Coturnix japonica: one gene and its partner. The protein of the gene in region 1 binds, or shares a complex with, the protein of each later gene. Links are inferred from orthologs where the notes say so. Each region holds a gene or a part of one and is shown on either strand. Other genes may lie near its edges.

Region 1 (9,687 bases):
AAAGATGCGACAGGAGAATTTGCATGCTCTGCTTTTCCCAGAGTGATTACTGGATGCTCATCTTCATGCAAATAAAAAGGGAATGATTTTCAGTGAGTGCATATCCACCCATCCACCTGCCTCTGAAAATAAATAAATACATAAATAAATGAAATAAAATGAAATAAAAGCAGGTCTCTTTGACGAGTCTCTCATCAAATTGCCACTATTGTCTGAAGTTATTGGCTATCAAAACACCATGAGATCTGAAAGAAAAAGTCCTTTCCTCCACACTTTTGTTCTCTGGGAACCAAGGAGGACCCAATGTCTCTCATGCTTTCACGGAATACACGGAATGGAAGAAAACTTCCTTCAAGGTTCTGCTTTGTTTTGTCTGTCCCACACAGAATGCTGTGTCTCTTGAAGTATATCACGTGTAAAATGATGGGTTGGATTTTACTCTCCTGTGTTATATCATTTGCTTTCCTTCTTAAAATTAGTCTCTTCACTATATCGCCACATCAGATCACTTCTACTGTCTTCCAGGCCAGTCGCTGGTGGTGTCTAAAGTCATTTCTGACATGAGGTTTATTTACTCAGCTGTCCCAAATAATGGTGTGAGAAGGATTATTACACAGGAGTACCACAGTGAGGCTATTTGAAACTAGGTAGCAGGAAGGCTTTTTCCTGTGTGGCACTGAAAATAGCTTCCTAGGGTAATGAGGAAGACCTCTCTATAATCCTGGTGTGTCTGAGCTCTCAGTGCTTTCCCAGTCATGTAGCACTAATAGTATTCCGCCAGTTTTCATGAGGTATCCGCTGTTTGTCTAATCATCATTGTTGCTTTTGTTTCTTAACAGAAAGAATTTCCGGTTCCTGAACAGTTCAAGACAGCATGGGATGGATCTAAGTTGGTCACTGAACCTGCAGAGATCGTGGGTTAACCTCCTAACATCACTCAGCGCTCACTGACCGTGATCAGACCATAGCCAGCAGAAACAACGCAGCAACGTAAAGAACTAGAACTAGCAGTAGCTCCCACTGCTGTCTTAGGTCTTCAAGAATTAGCTGTGCATGCTAGAAACAATAACCCGTCCGGCACGCTTTTGTTAGGCACCTCAGCATTTCTCAAGTTTCCACAGTTCACTTACGGTTTTACTTACAGTTCACTTACGGTTTTACTTACAGTTCACTTACGGTTTTACTTCTCCATGACGTCATGTGAATGTGATGGCTTGAAACCCCCCACCTTCCAGTCACGTCACTGGTTTGAAACACTTTATTCGTTAAGCCAAAATACTGCATGATACACTTGGTTATCACATCGCTTCTGGGCATTCCTTTTTATGTTTCCGCTAATCAAAACCAGTATTAAGACTCTAAGATGTTTGTTTTCACCTTTTACGTTACTCCTGTACAACGCAGTACAAACACACCCCTGGAAAGAACTACATGACAGTTCCTTGTAGTTCTGCAGCAATCTTTTCTTTTTTTTAAGCAAGCAAAAAAATAAAAAAGGATCACTTTCAGCAATACATTTTCCTAATGGAAGATGAAATAACATGATATTTTTAATCTAACACTTTTCTAATATAAAGATCCCTGTGTTTCATAGAGGATTTTATTCTGGTCCATACAGACCTGCTGTTGCCCTCTCATTTCTTGCAAATCAGGAATTGTTTTGAAACCGAAGCCTCATATGAGCTCATAACACCTTGCAGGAAATCACCTGCAAGTTTTTGCTCCACAGGTATCTTTTGTTGTTGTTATTGAGACAATCCCTCATGCTTTAAAATTTCAAACTGCACCCTTGCAATACAACAAGCTGGCAGGGGAGATACCACCACCAGGCCGGTGGTTTTCCCAGGGCGAGAGGCACATGTCAGATATCACTTAATTTGCTTGTTAAAGTTCCTTTAAAATCTATCTATTATAGCTGTCATAGCTTCTATTGATTAAAATACCTTTCTGTTTCTTCCCTGCATTTCTAACACTTACTCAATTTCAAATTCATCTACGAATCAAAGCCATAGACCTATCGGTTCAGCCCAAATAAAGCCCACTCAGCCCTTAAATTCTACTTTCTATAGTCCCTATTGTACATGCTTTTTTAACAAAGGTGGAGTCTTGTATACATTTGTACTATTTCAGCACATAGTACAATAAAAGTTTAAAATTTTGCAGCCAGCATATGTTTTTGATCACTTGTAATACTTTGTAATGGTGAAATCAAAGTGAGATGCTTGCAGAGCTAGTTACAAGCTAAATTTTGTGCCTAACTTACCTTGAAAGTACATTAATCTTTGAGGGTTTTTAACTATCTTTGATTGTAAACCCTCTGTAACACAACAGTAGTGCTCGTTCCGCAAGGTTTTGCTATCTGATCTTTAATCTATATGTATAATGTGTCTGCCTTAGTATACACCATTTTTCAACAGTAAACTTCTTATGAAATAAAAAAGGAAAGTGTACTTGTTTAAATATAAAGTTGCTCGGAGCTTACAGAGCTGTACTGTTTGTCCTATACACCCTCCCTATCTTAAATGCCATTTCAAAAGCTTAACTGAGAAGCAGCTGCTCCTCCCATCTCATCAAACATCACCATGCTCATCAATCATCACCACCTACCTGACAGTGAGTAGTGGCTGTGTTGCACGTTGGCAGACATGAAGTTTTGTGCATATAACTTCTGCGACAGCAACGGAACCCAGCTGTTCGTGGTTCTCATTTCTAGGTACACCCAGATCTTCCAGAGATTTCGTCTAGAGAGATGATCATGACCCATCCCATGCAAGTTTATAAGCTCTACCTTCTATTTTCACCTTTTCCCATTGTTTCTCTACATGTCTCTGGATGTATCCCTCCTGTGCTAACAAACTCAGGAGCAGTCCGTCCCATATTTTACTTAGATGTTTACCATAGCTGAAAAACAGCATCATGCACTTGTGATGAAAGGATTGCAGGAGGATTTTTTAGTCTTCAAATCATAATCATAATTTGTTCCCTAAAATGATATCTGGAGGTATGGCACAAAACAAGTATAAAACGCATGCTGGTAAACAGAAAACAGTGAGGCAGATCTGACTTGCTACAAAGACAAACTCCTTTAGTTCTTCCAAAGAGTTCAGCTCCCTCCTCAAGGTTGCTTTACTTCTATCAATCTTCTTTTAAACATCTCAGAGCAAACTCCCTTATGGCTAAGCCTTCTCTCCAACATTCACACTCCTGCAACGTGCAAGACCCAAGCACAATCATTGATGAGTTTCTTAATGGCAAGTAGGCCTGTGCAGTCACACTGTGTGCTCAAAGGTCTGACCACACCTGAGGACTCTGTCAGAGAGCAGAGGTTGAAAAGGAAGGAGGCCTTACATTAAGAGAAACCAAGGTAATGCTGGTAACTGGAGAAAAGGCCAGTGAAGTCCACACAGTGTTAGACAGTGGAATAGGACTCCAGCAAGGAATGAGGCACTAAATGCTGAGCAACCCTAACATTCTATCAATCCCTTCTTTTTACTGCACGTTGCCACATGAGATATGGCACATATTTCAGCTTGGTTCGCGCTGCTTTTAAGTCGTGCTTCTGCTCTGAATGCAAACAGACAACAGTACCTGTGGTGCACATAATGTTATGGAAAGAATGTGTAATTAACCTGTTCATTTTTATAAACCCGCTTGTGTCATATGTTCACTAGGTTACAAATCAGCTGGTAAGGTACACGAGAGATTCTGATCTAAGTTTTCAAATGTAGGCAGTGTTTTTCTTGTGAGATCTCACGCTTTCTTAAGTTGCACCTCTGTAAAAGGACCTAATGAAGCGCAGGAAGGAGAAGGGCCAAACCCAAGACAGGCCTCTCAGGTAGAAAGCACCTGAATAAGGGGCACTGGGCACAAAGTGACACACAGGAGGTTCTGTCTATCCACCAGACAGCACTTCTATGCTGTGCAGGTGACGGAGCACTGGCACAGGCCGCCCACAGGCTGTGAAGTCTCCTCCTTGGAAATCTCCAGAAGGTTCCTGGCCGTGGTGTGTTCGGGCAGGGCTGGGGCCAGGTGGGCAGGGAGGACCCTGGCAGCCTCAGCCATCCTTACGGCTGTGCGATATCGGCTCAGTTGCTCAAATCATCGCTTCCTTTGTGGAAACTGGAAATACCGAAGCAGTGACTCCGCGTTTCCACCAGATGGCAGAGAGCAGCTGAGGGGCGGGCAATGGCGAGGTCTTCCTGTTAACACTGAATTCGCGTGCTACCAAGGGACTGAGAAACTGCTCTGTAAGCCTCGCTGTTAAGACGAGATCATCGTGGTAAAAGGCTTGAGGGGAACAAATGCGGAAGAAGAAAAAAACACCTACTTGTTGGAATAATGTAAGATTGTTTTTTTTTGAACACCGCTATTTCCACAGCACCATTTCCATTAAAAGCACGTCATAAAAAACAAACTGATCGTGACGCTCATACTTAACAGAGCTAAGAAGAGAGGAAGGTGAGCCATTTCAAGCCTGCAGTTCAAATCCACAAATCCTCCCAGCGTTAGCAAATTAGATTAGACCCTTTTACTGCTGCCACAGGTGTCGGTGGGATAAACCACCCGTGTTCTTTCGGATGTCGGGCGGTTCCTGAGGCGCTCACTGTGGTACAGGGAGGCGGGAATGGTGGAAGTAGGGCGCAGCGGCTCTACACGCATCCAGCCGGCACGGCTGTGGAGCTACATCTACCCTCAGTTCGGGAGCTCTCAGACGGTTCCCGGCCTAAGCGCAGCCGTGCCTCGGCGCTGGGCGATACCATGTGGCAGTACAAGGGCAATACAAGAAGCTGCTTCCCCTGCTCACCCCTCTCCCCGCTGTGGGAGAGGCGAAGCGCAGCCCGGCTCATGCGCGGTGCGGGCGGCGCTCAGCGTCAGCGGCGATGCCGGAGATGGCGGAGCTCGGCGCGGAGCCGGGCACGTCCCGCAGCGGCGCCGGAGCGGCGGCCACGGCCGGGGGCGCCCAGGACAGAAGCGACAGCGGCGGAGAGGCCGCTCCCGCGTCGCCATCGCCGCCCACGGGGAGCGACGAGGCGGGGAAGGCGCTGAGCGCGGCGGAGTACGCGCGGCGGGTGCACCAGTGGCTGTGGGACTCGTACTGCGGCTACCTCAGCTGGCACTGCTCGCTGCCGGCACTGCTCGCCGCCGGCCCCGCCGCCCGCTTCACCGCCCCGCCGCCCCCTCCCGCCGCCCCGCCGGGGGCCGCCCCCGCCGCCTACTACAGCCCGTTCTACCTCTTCGCCCCGCCGCCTGCCGCCACCGCCTCGCCGGGGCCCCGCGCTCCCCCCGCGCCCGCCCCCAACACCTCTTGGCCGGCGGCGACCGCCAGGCTGTCCCCGCTGCCCCGAGCGGCTCCGGGCTCCGGCAGCGGCGGTGTTGGCCAGCGGGAGGCTGCGGGTCGGCCGGCAGGTGAGTGCTCACGTTCAGCGGGGCCTGGCGCAGGAGTTTGTTTCGGATGTAAATATTTGCGGAGCACGTATAGCACTGCTTCTGTTTGCGTTTGCTTGAGAGCAAAGCAAACTGTCTGATGGCATGGGAGTGTGCGGGTGCTTCCTCGCTGGGTGGGGGAATGGCTAATGGCTGCCTCCTTCAGTCCAGGGCTGCCAGGCAGTGCTGTGAGTGCTGCTGGACGGGGCAGCCATCCAGCTGCGCTGCCGAGGCCCATGGAGAAAAGCCAGGAGTCCTGGCCCTGTGCAGGGCAAAGTGCAGCAGGCAGAGCTGTGCCGTCGGTGTGAGCTCAGTCTCACAGGTGTGAGGGGAGAGTCACAAACGACCGCTGTGCTCCACATTGCGAGGGGATGCATCTGGAACAGCTCAAGTGTTTATATCTCCTTTTCTGCTGTGGATTATTGTCCTTGGGGCAAGCTTGGCTATAGAGGGCGTGTTCCCATCCCGGTGCTGCTGTAGTTTACAGCCCTGTGTGCTTATGTAAGCTGAAATCAGTGACAGCTTATGTTAACGTCGTGCTTTTCCAGCTGGAGTGTCGCAAAGCAGGGCAGGTGATGCTTCTCCCAGCCTCTCCCGGCTCAGTCTGCACGCAGCCGAGTGTCACAACACCGATGTTAGTTGTATGCCAGGCAGCAGGGTGGCAGCGAGCTCTTGATGTATGGTAACCGTGGCTTAAGGTGCTTTGTCCCCTTGCCCCTCCCTGCCTTGCTGTAGCAGGTCACCAGTATTAAACACTGAGCACAGGAGAACAAAGCACGCTCAGGCTTCAGTTGCACTTTATTACTGCCTGATTACTGCTACCTGCTTGAGCTGGGCCAGGGCAGGCTGAGGTACAGAATCCTCCATTAGTAGTTATTTGACAACTTGGATATGCTTCAGCAATGGAAATGGGATCTATTTTAGTACTCCTTATGTAAATCATGCTACTTGACAGATAGAGTCGATGTGGAGTTACCAGCGTAAACAGCTATGAAGGGATGATACAAGCTGAGTTGCGTTAAGAACTTGCTCTTGCATAATCACTGCTTTATTGTGCTTACTGCATTTAAAAGTACAGGAGTGTCGTGGGCTCCTATTTGTGGGTCTGACCCAAAGGCTCATCTAACTGAAGGAATTCAGATTTGTGCTTTAACTGATAGACATCTTTAGAAGAACTCTTGGTGTGAGCTGAGATAAAGCCCTTGGTTGTGTTCTCCAGAGAGGTGTATGTGAAGCATCCTTGAGAGAATTGCACTCTTTAGTGCAGTACAATCTGGGTAATCCAAACTGTTTCTGTTGCAGGTCGGGAGTTCATTATCCCTTCGCTGGCACACAGGTTCATAGCAGAGATGGTGGATTTCTTCATTCTGTTCTTTATAAAGGCAACCATTGTTTTAAGTATTATGCACCTCAGCGGGATCAAGTAAGTAGAACGATTTAAAGGTTTACTATATACAGCATTAAGGTCTTCGTGCTCTTTGAGGTGTCACGATGTGCTATGGTTACGCATCTGACATCTCTTTTTTCAACAGACACAGGCTGAGAAAACAGCCCCACTATGGGATACCTCCTTTTAGATCTGACCTGGGGTCAGCTGATGGCAAGGGGAGGAATTGTGGAGTCATTTTGTAGGCTCACACACTTGTTACTAAGGATTAATTAGGCTGACTTGCAGTCTCAGTTTTTGAGGGAATTAGCAAGAATTTTTTTAAAACGCTCTTAAAATAAATCTCAATGGGAAAACCTTATTAAAAAACATAAAAGGTTTTTATTTCAGATGATGTCAAATATGCATCAATTGGAAGGTTGCTAGAAACCTAAAGCCTGTAGGCTTTACTGTGCCTAAGCTGTAGGGAAAAATGGAATAAGCATCATATGCATCAGCTATATACCAGAATGAAAGTCTTCATGTTTTTATACTGGATGTATTTATCCAGGCTGGATGTGGCTCTGGGCAGCCTGGTCTGATGGCTGGTGACCCTGCACATAGTGGGGGTTTGGAATTACATGATCATCGTGGTTCTTTTTAACCCAGGCCATTCTGTGATCCTATGATTTTTTTTTTAGTGATTAATTATCTTAAATACTGTCTCCTTATTCCGTAGCTGATTCAGTTCCTCTACTTTGATATATTCACATATTTCAATCTTATGAGGAGATCAAGGCTTAGTATGGTCCATACACTTACATTTCAGAATTGAAGGTATCTGCTAAAAGAGCCTTCCAAATGTTGATAGGATGTAAGCTGATACTACAGACATAACATCTTTTGGACAGGTTGAACTGCTGCTTGAAAGTGCGTGGAAGAGGCTTAGATCCAAAGCAGTAAATGTCAGTGTAAATTATCAGTGTCACTGTTCAAATAAGCAGGCAAATGAAACGCCAACCTCTCAGTTCTGTTCAGTTGCCAAAGCCTCCAACTTAACCTGGCAGCTTGTATTTCTACCTCAGTTTTGTAGGCCAAAAATGATACAGAAGATACGGGAAAGCTGGAGAACAGCTTTATGTGTATCACTTCTGCAAAAATGGTGATTGAAAGAGAATCTTTTTGAGTTACTGTACAGTATATTCGATATTGCTGCTCTTGCAAGAGCCACAAAGTTGCTTACGAGTAGCTTCAGAAACTATTTTTTTCCCCCTGGTGAGCTGTGTGCTGGAGGCCAGGCTGAGCTGTCACGTAAGGCACATCCTCACTGAAGACAAAGACTTCAGGCCAGCTTTGTACTAAAGGGAAGAGCAGATTGTGCTGTACTACCATTCTCTCAATTCCTATCTTTTTTGATCCTGAACAGAGAGGAGAGCGAGTGGTGCGTGCGTGGCTTGTTTTCACGAGGCCCACACCTTTCTATTTAAATAGAAATTATAACTGAGATGGCTCACGGAAAAGTCATCTCCTAAGTACACGTTGCAAGTGCGCCCATTCCACTTATCAGATGTCACATCTGTGGTTTGACTTGTGAAGATACACAGCTGATTCTGAGCTGCAGCTTTGCATTGCTTTGTTAGGGGAGATGGCTGAGAGTTTCAACTGTTTGGTTGAAAGCATTTTGGAACTGCTGAGAAGGCAAACCCTGCTCATGCAAAGGGGGTAAAGTCTCCTTTGCTTGTCTGGTGACTTGCAAACTGCTTTGCAGTTATAAGAGAGCAATGCATTGAGTTCCCATCTCCCTCACCCTGTAATGAAGATAGTTGTATCCATGTGTGTAAGTAGATGATTGTGGAATCCCTTGTGCATCTCTCAAGAATGAGAATGTTCCTAACGATTCTGCAGCTCACTCCATAGACTGTCATGTTGCAAATGTGCTCACAATGCATTTTTTCATAACGAAAAACTGAACAGCAACTTGGAAGGAAACCTCACAGAATCACAGATCACAGAATCACAGAATGACCCGGGTTGGAAGGGACCTCAAGGATCATGTAGTTCCAACCCCCCTGCCTGGCAGGGCCACCAAACATACACATTTACTACATCAGGTTGCCCAGGGCCCCGTCCAACCTGGTCTTGAACACCTCCCAGTGTTAGGAATTGTATTGGGTGGCTCAATGTCACAGAAGCTGAAGAGAATTCCAGCACTAGGAGGGACAAATGAGTTCTGGATGTTGTGTCGTGTTTGGTTTTTTGCTTTGTGGGTTGTTTTTTAAAGTTGTCTTATTTTCAACAGAGACATCTCTAAATTTGCTATGCATTACATAATAGAGGAAATAGATGAAGATACATCCATGGAAGACTTGCAGAAAATGATGATAGTGGCTCTCATCTACAGGTTATTAGTCTGCTTCTACGAGGTAACTACTCCTGCATTTTAACTGCTGTAGTTCATAGTTATCAGTTCTCGGATAAACAACAAAGTATCATCAGTGGCCAATGAAGTAAAGCCCTCTTTACTTGGAGTTCTGTGAAGCTGTGGGCCTCACTTATTTTTGAAGAAAGCCATGTTTGCCATACTAGTCAATAACACTGCTCTGTGTGGAACTGAAGTAAGTTTTCTTTCGCAGATCATCTGTATTTGGGGAGCAGGAGGAGCAACCCCAGGGAAGTTCTTGCTCGGGCTGCGAGTTGTGACGTGTGATACGTCTGTCCTCGTTGCACCCAGCCGTGTGTTAGTCATTCCGTCTTCTAATGTCAGTATGACAACGTAAGTGCTCTTAGCTTACCTTGCTTTTGTATTAATGGGATGGAAAATGTGGTTTGGAAGGAAATGCACCTTTCCTTTATTGTTGGCCTTTGCCGGCATTGGATTGCCAAGAAGTATTCTCAGG
Region 2 (9,015 bases), on another chromosome or scaffold:
CAGTCCTGCTGAGTTCGAAGGTTCTGCTTCTGACTTCCTGGACGAATTGACTTCTGCCTGCAAGGAATACATGCACACACTTCAGAGATGAGATCAATGTTCCAAGAAGATTTAAATTTCCTTGGAAATTCATTCCAAGAACGATGCCAACTGCATTTCAACACATCAACACGTTTATGAAAATTTAACCCTTATTTCATAAGACTACAGATAATAAACACCAGTTGAGACAAGATCCCAGTTTTATTTTGGATTTTCTTAGTTCTATTTGTTTATGCATAATAATAGGCATAACATTAATAAAACAACATGAGACCAGAACAAAAAAGAAAATTCTTCAAAAGATAATTGTGACAGAAATAACACCAGCTTTATAAAACTTCCCTTTCTCATGATCCTTAAGAGCTGACCGTGCTGTCACATGACTAACAGCCTGTTTCTCAGCAAGGCTAATTTGCCTCAAGTTATATGTTAAGTTTGCTGTAGTGGTCTGAGTACTAAGATTGCCTCAAAGACAGAAAGTGTACATCTGTGGGGTGCTACCCTGTATCAGGCACTAAGTTTTCATTAAGATTCAGTGCAAGAACTAAGGTAGATGAACATATCCTTATAATACTGTACTATATATGCACATATAAAATGTCTACTAAGCATAATTTTCCAGAATTAACGTTTTATACTTTAGGAAATTTGAGATATTGACAGACCTGTAGGAACATACAGAGGATCATTAATAAGCCTCCTGCTAAAACAGTATGTTTGCAATAACCCATTAGGGATAGAAAGGGACATATCACCATACTCCTGAATTAAAACAGTTTGCAGTATAAACATATCCAAATTTTAAAAACCTTAAAATTAAAAGGTCAGGACCAGATCATCTTTTTTTTTTTCTCCCCCAATCCCTTTGTAAGCAAGTCTCTCCCTGTAGAGTGTAACATCATATCTCCCCAATATTGTATCAGGATCTCAACTTCTTTCAGAGATTACAGTCCCAAATTTAAGGACTGCTACTTGACTTCAAATGGAAATACAAGTAAAGGTAGCATGAAATACAAACATTAGAAACCAACCAGTCATGTAGATAACAAGCTAAGAAGACCATAAAATAACAATCTTCTTCCACACTGCTGTTTTGTGTGGGGAAATTAAATTCCCCATTTTCTGACACTTCATTTTCTGATTTTCCTGAAATACTATTGCCACTGAAATGATCTGAAGATTATTTATAGATTTAAAATTGCTTATAATGTAACAACAATATTGACTTCTTTTTACACTGACTACTATGGACTCTAATATGAGATAGTTAGGACAGCACAAATTTTGTTTCTGATCCACATTAGAATCATATCACACAGAATCATGGAATAATTTAGGCTGGAAGGGACCTCTAGATATCACTGGATCCAACTGTCTCCTTAAAGTAGGGTCACGTCTGTTCAAGTTTTAAGCACCTCCAAAGCTGGAGATGCTACAGTTTGTCTAAGAATGGTACTGTGGTGTTTGACAGTCTGTGTGGTGAATTCTTTCCCCCTCTTCACATTCAGTGGGTACTTCCTTTCCTCAAAACTGTGACCACTGCTCTTCTACTTCTTTAGCACGCATGTGATTTACTTTAGTTTAATAAAGTACTAAGGCTAGAATACTAAAGTCACAGTAATTAAAAATATATGGAATGGACTGACCAGGGAGGTAGTGGAGTCACCAACCCTGGGGGTGTTCAAGGAAAGACTGGATGTTGTGTTGAGGGACATGGTTTAGTGGGAGCTATTGGTAATAGGTGAACGGTTGGACTGGATGATCTTTTAGGTCTTTTCCAACCTTGGTGATTCTATGATTATATATATATATATATATATATAAAATCACTATATATATATTATATATATATATATATATACACTCCAAAGTTTACTAAATTAACATCTTTTTCCAGCTTAGTCTTTTTTCTCCAAGACTTACCTTTGCCCCAGGAAAATAGAGACCTCACAGGAAGATGAACAAATTTAAACATAATAATGAAAGTGGACAGAAAACTAATTTTACTGTTATAATTATATGCCTTATAATGGCAACACATGGATATACCATATTGTTTTACAGAATAAGTGCATACACTATTAGTCATGTATCTTTTAAGTGAAATGGAATTTATGGAATATAGCATCTAAAATGCCTAAGACTTGCAAGTCAATGTTATTCTGATAAAAACTGTAGATCCCTATCAAACACATAAGCTCAAAGAAGCAGGAAAATTAAGGGAACACCTTTTCCTCTTGAATTTCATACTCTTTGTCTCAAGACCAAACGTGTATTTTAAAAAAAATAATCATTTTGCTTAAGGCTGGTATGAAAGAATTTCTTATAATCCTAGGATCTAGAAAACGTTAGGGAATCTCTTCTATAAGGACGAAGATAAAGTAGATATTGCTTATATTATTTTACTAACAGAGAGTTTCACCCAAATTACACATCCAATTGGCTATTCAATGAGAAATCCTATCCCGTAAGCTGACATGAAATATACTCAAATTATTAAAAACTTCTTTATTACCCTGCTAGTACTTTTGTTATAACCACACAAGTTGTATGTCTCAGTCTAACATGACATGAATAATAACAGAGCCAAGCACAACAGAGGTTTAGGAAACTTAAAAATCTGAGAAAGGAAGTTGAAGAATGCCCACAAAAGAGGGCCAATTTACCTTGCATTAGAACAAAACAGACTGAAAGACTGTAAAGAGAACGTTAAAACATGAATCACATCTACTTATTCCTTTAGTGCTTTTTCCCTTCAGAAATTGAGTTAAATATATGGACATATAGAACACATCAATGGTTTTTAAAGACTGACACCCTCAAATCTTTCATTTCAAAAAATGGAAAAAACAAGTATGAGAAAAGAAACTGTACCGAGATGTTTCTGCAATAAAGACTAGCAGTGCTTTAAAAAAAAACAGAACTCACACTTTTTAAAGCTTATACACTGTAAAGAAGATGAGCAGTGAATCTAAATTGCTTTTCTGGGTAGCTCAGCTTTAAAATTCTATGTCTGTACTTCTTCATCCTCGGAAATATTTGGATGAGTTGTTAATCATAAGCAGTACATGTAGACTCCTATATTAACACGTGTAGGTGTGAGATAACAAAGGAATGCACCTGTCTTTCAAAACTGGCAGCGATGCTCAGTAGGAGGTAATCTTCACTCTCACAGCACACAAAAATACCCCACAGTCTTTAGGACAGCGTAAAGAATAAAAATGGGTGATATTAGGTCATACTAGCACTCCTTCCTTGAGTGAGGATGCATTCGATACCGCTGCCACATTGTCACGTTATATTCCACTGTTGATCCCTGCATTCATGTACAGCGCCCTTCCTCAGAGGAAGGATTCAGAGTTTAGTGCAAAACCCAATGAAGAAAAAATACTGTACATGCAAGACATGCAATTTCCTAAGGCACAGATTTTGCTCAACAAGCCTTACTTTCACCAAAACATAAGCTAGAAAACACATTTTGGGGCAAAAGCAACTTTCATACCAGAGTTTAAATTTCAGTATCTTCAGCTGCAGAGTAGTTCAAAAGCATCTGCAACCATTTTTCAGTAACAACATGTTTTATTCCTTCCATAAACCAAAAGACAAATAAATAAATAAAAATCACAAAGAGAAAAACAATGTAGGTTAGCTTTGTCCAAATTTCCCTAACACGTTTCTGACAAAGTCTGGAGAATTTAATCACATTATTAGTGAAAACAAAGAACTAAAAGCAACATACGCAGTTTTTACCAGAGTACCTATAACTGAAATTATTGCTAATTAATTAGTACTTGAGATGCACAGTTTATTAACCGTCACATTTCCAGAGATGATCCATTCCCATTTTTCTCCTTCAGTCTGTCCTAGAAGACTAAAAAGTTTCCATGTAGTAATTTATGAAGGTTTATGAAATACTTTTTTTCCTGCAATTTACTTCCCCCCCACTCCACCCGCACCCAGATTCTGTACAGCAGACCACAAAAAAAAAAGTTTAAACAGTTACTCCACCTTGAAGCTAATTTGTCTGGCAAGTTCTTTAGCTTCCTTGTCTGCCTGGCTTGACCCACTTCCTGACGTTAGTGGTAAGAGGGCTGTCTTCATAGATGTGCCACACATTTCACAACAGAAGTCTTGTGACCTGGCCACAAAATGACAGAGCACAGAATGACACATTCTCATAACGTTCTTGTATGCTTGGTAAGCAAAGTACTTGCAAAGCAGTCCATATAAAGATGTATTTTCAAGACCAATAGCTTTAAAAGCATCTTTCCCATCCCCTCACCCCCATAAACTGCATTACCTTGAAAAATGTTTAATATCATCTATATTACAAATACATATTATCTTTATCATTTAGAAATGATCTACTTTTAGATTTCTCTCAGCCCATTTCATCAGCCTGTCCAGGTCCCTCTGGATGGCAGCACAACCCTTTGGTATTTCAGAGGCTCTTCCCAGTTCTTAATAACCTGCAAACTTGCCAAGGGCACGCTGTGTCCCACCATACAGGTCATTAATGATGTTGAATACCTCTGGTCCCACCATCAACCCTTGGTGTACACCAGCAGTGAATGACTGGCTTCCAGCTGGACTCAATACCCCTGACCAGACATTTGAGCCGGGCTACTCAGCCAGTTCTCAGTCCAACTCATTATGCACTTACCTATGCTATGTGCCACAATTTTTCTCTACAAGGATGTTAAAAGGAAGACAGTACTAAAAGTCATGCCTACCAAGCTAACAGTTCCATTAAAATCCCAAATATAATTTTAAGTTAATTTACTAAAATTATTCAGAAGCCATTACTTCAGATTTTGTTGTTGCTGTTTTATTATGTTCCTGAGCAAAAAGAGGCCTTGTTGTTTGTTTTCTCTATCACTCATGCTTACTCTATCACATTAAATTTCCTTAAGCAGTACGATTACCACTGTATAACAATGTTACTCACATCCCCACCAAACAAATTACAGAGGAACTTCTAATCTGACCACACAATGCTGGCAGGAACACAGCCCTCCCCAAGTAATTTGTTCACCCATAAGTCCTCAACTTGCACAATATTCAGGAAAATAAAAAGATGTAAGGCACAAAATATTCCACTGCTTTGGTTCTGTTTGTTTGTTTTGTCATTTAAATGTAAAACAAGTGCGAGAGAACAGTATTCTGACTTGCACTATTTACTGCTCAATGCCTTACTCAAAAAAGACAGCATATGTGTATTTTTCACAGTAACAAAGTTAATACGTACTTCTTGGCAAGAGCTCTTCTTTCTTCTGGCGTATAATCCAGAGATCCTATTGCTCCTTCACCTTTGGTTGGCATAAATCCAATAATTGCTAGTAAAGCTGTTCTTACTAAAATAGGAAAACAGATAAAAAGTTGCAGAAATAACAGCTACTTTATCTTACTCTGCAATGAGTGAGAAGAGTAGCAGTACTGCCCATAAAACTTGTTTTGTCCAAACGAGCAGTTCGAATTTCATACAAGCAGCACTGTTTGTTTCTTTATAAAGAACACGACTTTCCATTTTTTGAACTTCCCATTATAAGTCAAGGTCTTATTTTACCATCAGTCAACACAGAGAAGGAAAGCTAAGCTGTCACAAAAATACCACATCAGCACAGAGTTCCAAACTTTACTATTATGCTCCAAATAAAAATGGATGGATAAATGAGAAGGAAGAAAGATGCAGATTCATAAGGCATCCTTCTTTCTGGGTATACTGCTTATCAGACACACATTCTGCAATTTGGTGCATAGAAGCTCAGCAACTTTCTTTTACCTGTGCTTCCCTTTATTTTTTACCGTGCGACGTGGTGTAGGGAGCCTGCTTTGGAAGGGGGGTTGGACTCGATGATCTCTAGAGGTCCCTTCCAACCCCTACAATTCTGTGATTCTGTGTGATTCTGTGATGAAGTATATTGCAGTTTGCTCCCTTTATGTTGTCACGTTGGGTAAGGAGCTAACTTAAATACAGATAACTCAGATCACTCAGAACATCTCTTTTTTTGTAATACTTATCCTTTAATTTTGCTTTACATATGTTTGTGAGATTTAAAAATTCAAAGCAGTTTGCCAGAAGATTTGGTAAATAAATATCATATGAACCAAGCACCACAAAATAAATACAGAATGTGTATGTATTCACGTATGTATTCAAATACAGAACACGTATGTATTCCTATTCCAAAGACTATTTTGTGCTCTTTAAAAAAAGTAAAAGATTTTACAGTAGTTGAATTCCTAAGATCTTATCAACATTATTTAAACTACTCAATATCCAAAGAAATAATTAATACCCTGTACTCAGGAAGATAGAAGTTATACATACACATACACACACACACACACACACACACAGAAACATCACCTTGGATCAATTGTGCCAACTCTGAAACTCTTCAGATAATAAAACTTCTTTAAAAAAAAGCATAGAAAACATTCGGTTATTCTCAGCTTAGACCATGACTTTCCTCTGGAGCGCTCAGAGGTAAAGCATTAGCATAAAAGCTGACTACTCTCCTCTCAATTGACACTCAGGCTGCTTTTAGTGATTAGACCAAGGGGAAAAAAAGTGAAGTAATGGAATTTAAAATATTTTAATGTAAGAATGGTTTTTAAAAGTTAAGAATATCTTAACGAGTCCAAGAAATTTTTATTTGGATGCACAAGCATTAACAGCTTACCAACACTCCTCAGTTTCTCAACCTTTTCAGCTTCTGTTTATTGAACAGTTTCCAAAACTTCCTGTGTCCCTCTTTCACAACTTCACATTTCTACAGCTCTCCCATCCTTTTGCTCCCTCAAAAATCTGCCTCCCCTTCCACTACGAGCTCTATTCATTGCAGTTAAGAACACGGGTGTGTTTGCATGGGGTAGAACACAAGCAGCAGAAATTGCATCTCATATCCTTACTCAGAGCTAGGAAGGCAACCTTTCTGTTCTGCTTAATATTTGCAGTTCTGACAATATTTTTCAGTGCCGTTTCCATTTATTCTCCTAATATTATAATAAATAACTAAAATCCTGTCAGTAGCAGCACTGCCTTGTAGTTCAGTCACATTCTGTCAAACAAACCAATGTGAATAAATACATTAATGAACTCAAAACCACAGAAGAGGGTTTTTTCTGCTCAATCCTCAGTGAAGACCAGAGGTACAGCAATTCCAGAGTTTCCTCGAATTCAGGGAAGCACATAAGAGGAGTTTCAGCACACATACTAAGAATTAGTCCAAGCATCGAGAGAAGTATTAGTGAAGTATTACTGTAGCATTCTTTGTGAGATTTTTCAGTGTAAAGATGATTTCCAAATAATTTGTTACTTACTACTCCATGAAGGCTGCCATGTTTCAGGATGATGCCCTGAGATGCTTAAGCAAATTTTCTTCCCCACTTCAAACCTGCCATTAGCCTTTAAAGAAAGGAGGATATAATAAAACGTGAAGTTAATTTGTGCAAAGAAAACAAGTTATCAAAAATATCATAAATCCATATGCAAACAATACTTGATAACTGTATTACTACCAACCTTGCAAATACAGCATTCAGCTTTCTGAATCAAAGAAGTCTGCCAACTACCTTAGTTCATGCACAAAGAGACCCCTACCTGATACCTCATATGTCCCAGTGTGACATAATGGCTTCTCTGTTGCTCCCGTAATCCACACATGTGTGGAGACTCTGAAAGTCTATAGCTCTATGAAATTACACAGAAATACAGGCCTTCACCCATACCATAGATCTGTTTTTCACGCATTAACAGAGACCACGTAGATTATGTAAGTTCATGTAGTTCCAATGCTATAGGCAGGGACATCTTCCACTAGGCGAGGTTGCTCAAAGTCCCATCCAGCCTAGCCTTGCGCACAGCAGTGGTAGGCTGACAACTGGACAAGGTGATGTTAGTGGTCATTTCCAACCATAATTACTCTATTATTCTGTGATCCACAGAGACAACAGGAAGGTTAGACATCCATATAAGCAATCAGTATTAGTTTTGGGGAAGTCTCCCACTTGTAGATCCAAAACTTCATCTAACTACATTATACCAAAGTCACTTTCAAAGACTTCTGTCACTAAACTGGCAGCATTAATTGTACTATGACCCCTGTCTTATAAAAATAATGTTACCTTAGGTGCTAGGAATCTTTCATATACTTACCGTCAGCAAAATAATGCTTGGTGGTTTCATGGGATATTCAGGTGGAAGTACTATCCGTCCGTGATAAATTCCTCCATCAAAATCTGAATCTGGAGGACCTCTAACAGTAAAGTGCCATTCAAAAAGATTGTCCTAAAATGACCACAGCAAGGGAAAAAGAAATAAGTGTCAAGGAAGTTGACATCTAATTATCATTTCTTTAGCCTTTGTTCCAAGGAAAAAATGAATGGCAAGTTTTAAAATAAGGAAAAAAATAAATAAATCAGAAATGAAGATAACCAACAGTATGCTAAGATTTCACTGAAAAGGAAAGATGAAGTAGCTTCCTGGTAATTTTCTTACCAAATGACTTAGTTGGAAAATTCTAATGGACTTCACTCTAGCTGTGCCTATTCATTTCCTGTCAGATGGAATACATGGAGTCAAATACGGGAAAACTCAGTCTTTACCCCAGTGAATACTGGTTTATACAGAACTGAGAGGCTCACTCCAAGTAAGAACATTAATTACAGCCTTCTACGTCAATGTCTCTTCTGTGCCAGGGCAACAAAGGGATTTGATGCAAGTTCCTTAGAATTCCCTTCCTCATTTGTTTTTCCACAAAGACTCACCACTACCACACCCTACTGCAATATATAGATTTTGAACTTCAGAACATTTTCATTGGACAAGGAAACAGCTCTTCCTTAAGCATTATTTTTGAGGGCTCTGAGTTTGGCTTTGTGCTTCAGATCTCCTAATGCTCATGACTCCTTGGACAAAAACAAGACAACACCTAGTTTTAACACTGCAGCCCAGTGAAGCTTGCCTTT

The links.
Region 2: FAM8A1 (region 1) and UBE2J1 share a complex: the UniProt entries of both Homo sapiens proteins name them as parts of the HRD1 complex. The link is inferred for Coturnix japonica from reciprocal best matches to the Homo sapiens genes FAM8A1 and UBE2J1.

The regions. Positions count from the first base shown.
Region 1 is NC_029517.1:66,994,893-67,004,579, reverse strand, and holds the start of FAM8A1 (protein FAM8A1), read left to right. Parts: upstream 1-4,852; 5' UTR 4,853-4,880; coding exon 4,881-5,406; intron 5,407-6,726; coding exon 6,727-6,847; intron 6,848-9,089; coding exon 9,090-9,213; intron 9,214-9,423; coding exon 9,424-9,563; intron 9,564-9,687. Other genes in the region: CAP2 (adenylyl cyclase-associated protein 2), read left to right, coding at 840-923. UniProt on the Homo sapiens protein: Plays a role in the assembly of the HRD1 complex, a complex involved in the ubiquitin-proteasome-dependent process of ER-associated degradation (ERAD).
Region 2 is NC_029518.1:68,955,843-68,964,857, reverse strand, and holds part of UBE2J1 (ubiquitin-conjugating enzyme E2 J1), read right to left. Parts: intron 8,336-9,015; coding exon 8,204-8,335; intron 7,454-8,203; coding exon 7,369-7,453; intron 5,397-7,368; coding exon 5,291-5,396; intron 4,181-5,290; coding exon 4,051-4,180; intron 58-4,050; coding exon 1-57. UniProt on the Homo sapiens protein: Catalyzes the covalent attachment of ubiquitin to other proteins. Functions in the selective degradation of misfolded membrane proteins from the endoplasmic reticulum (ERAD) and is essential for cells to recover from ER stress.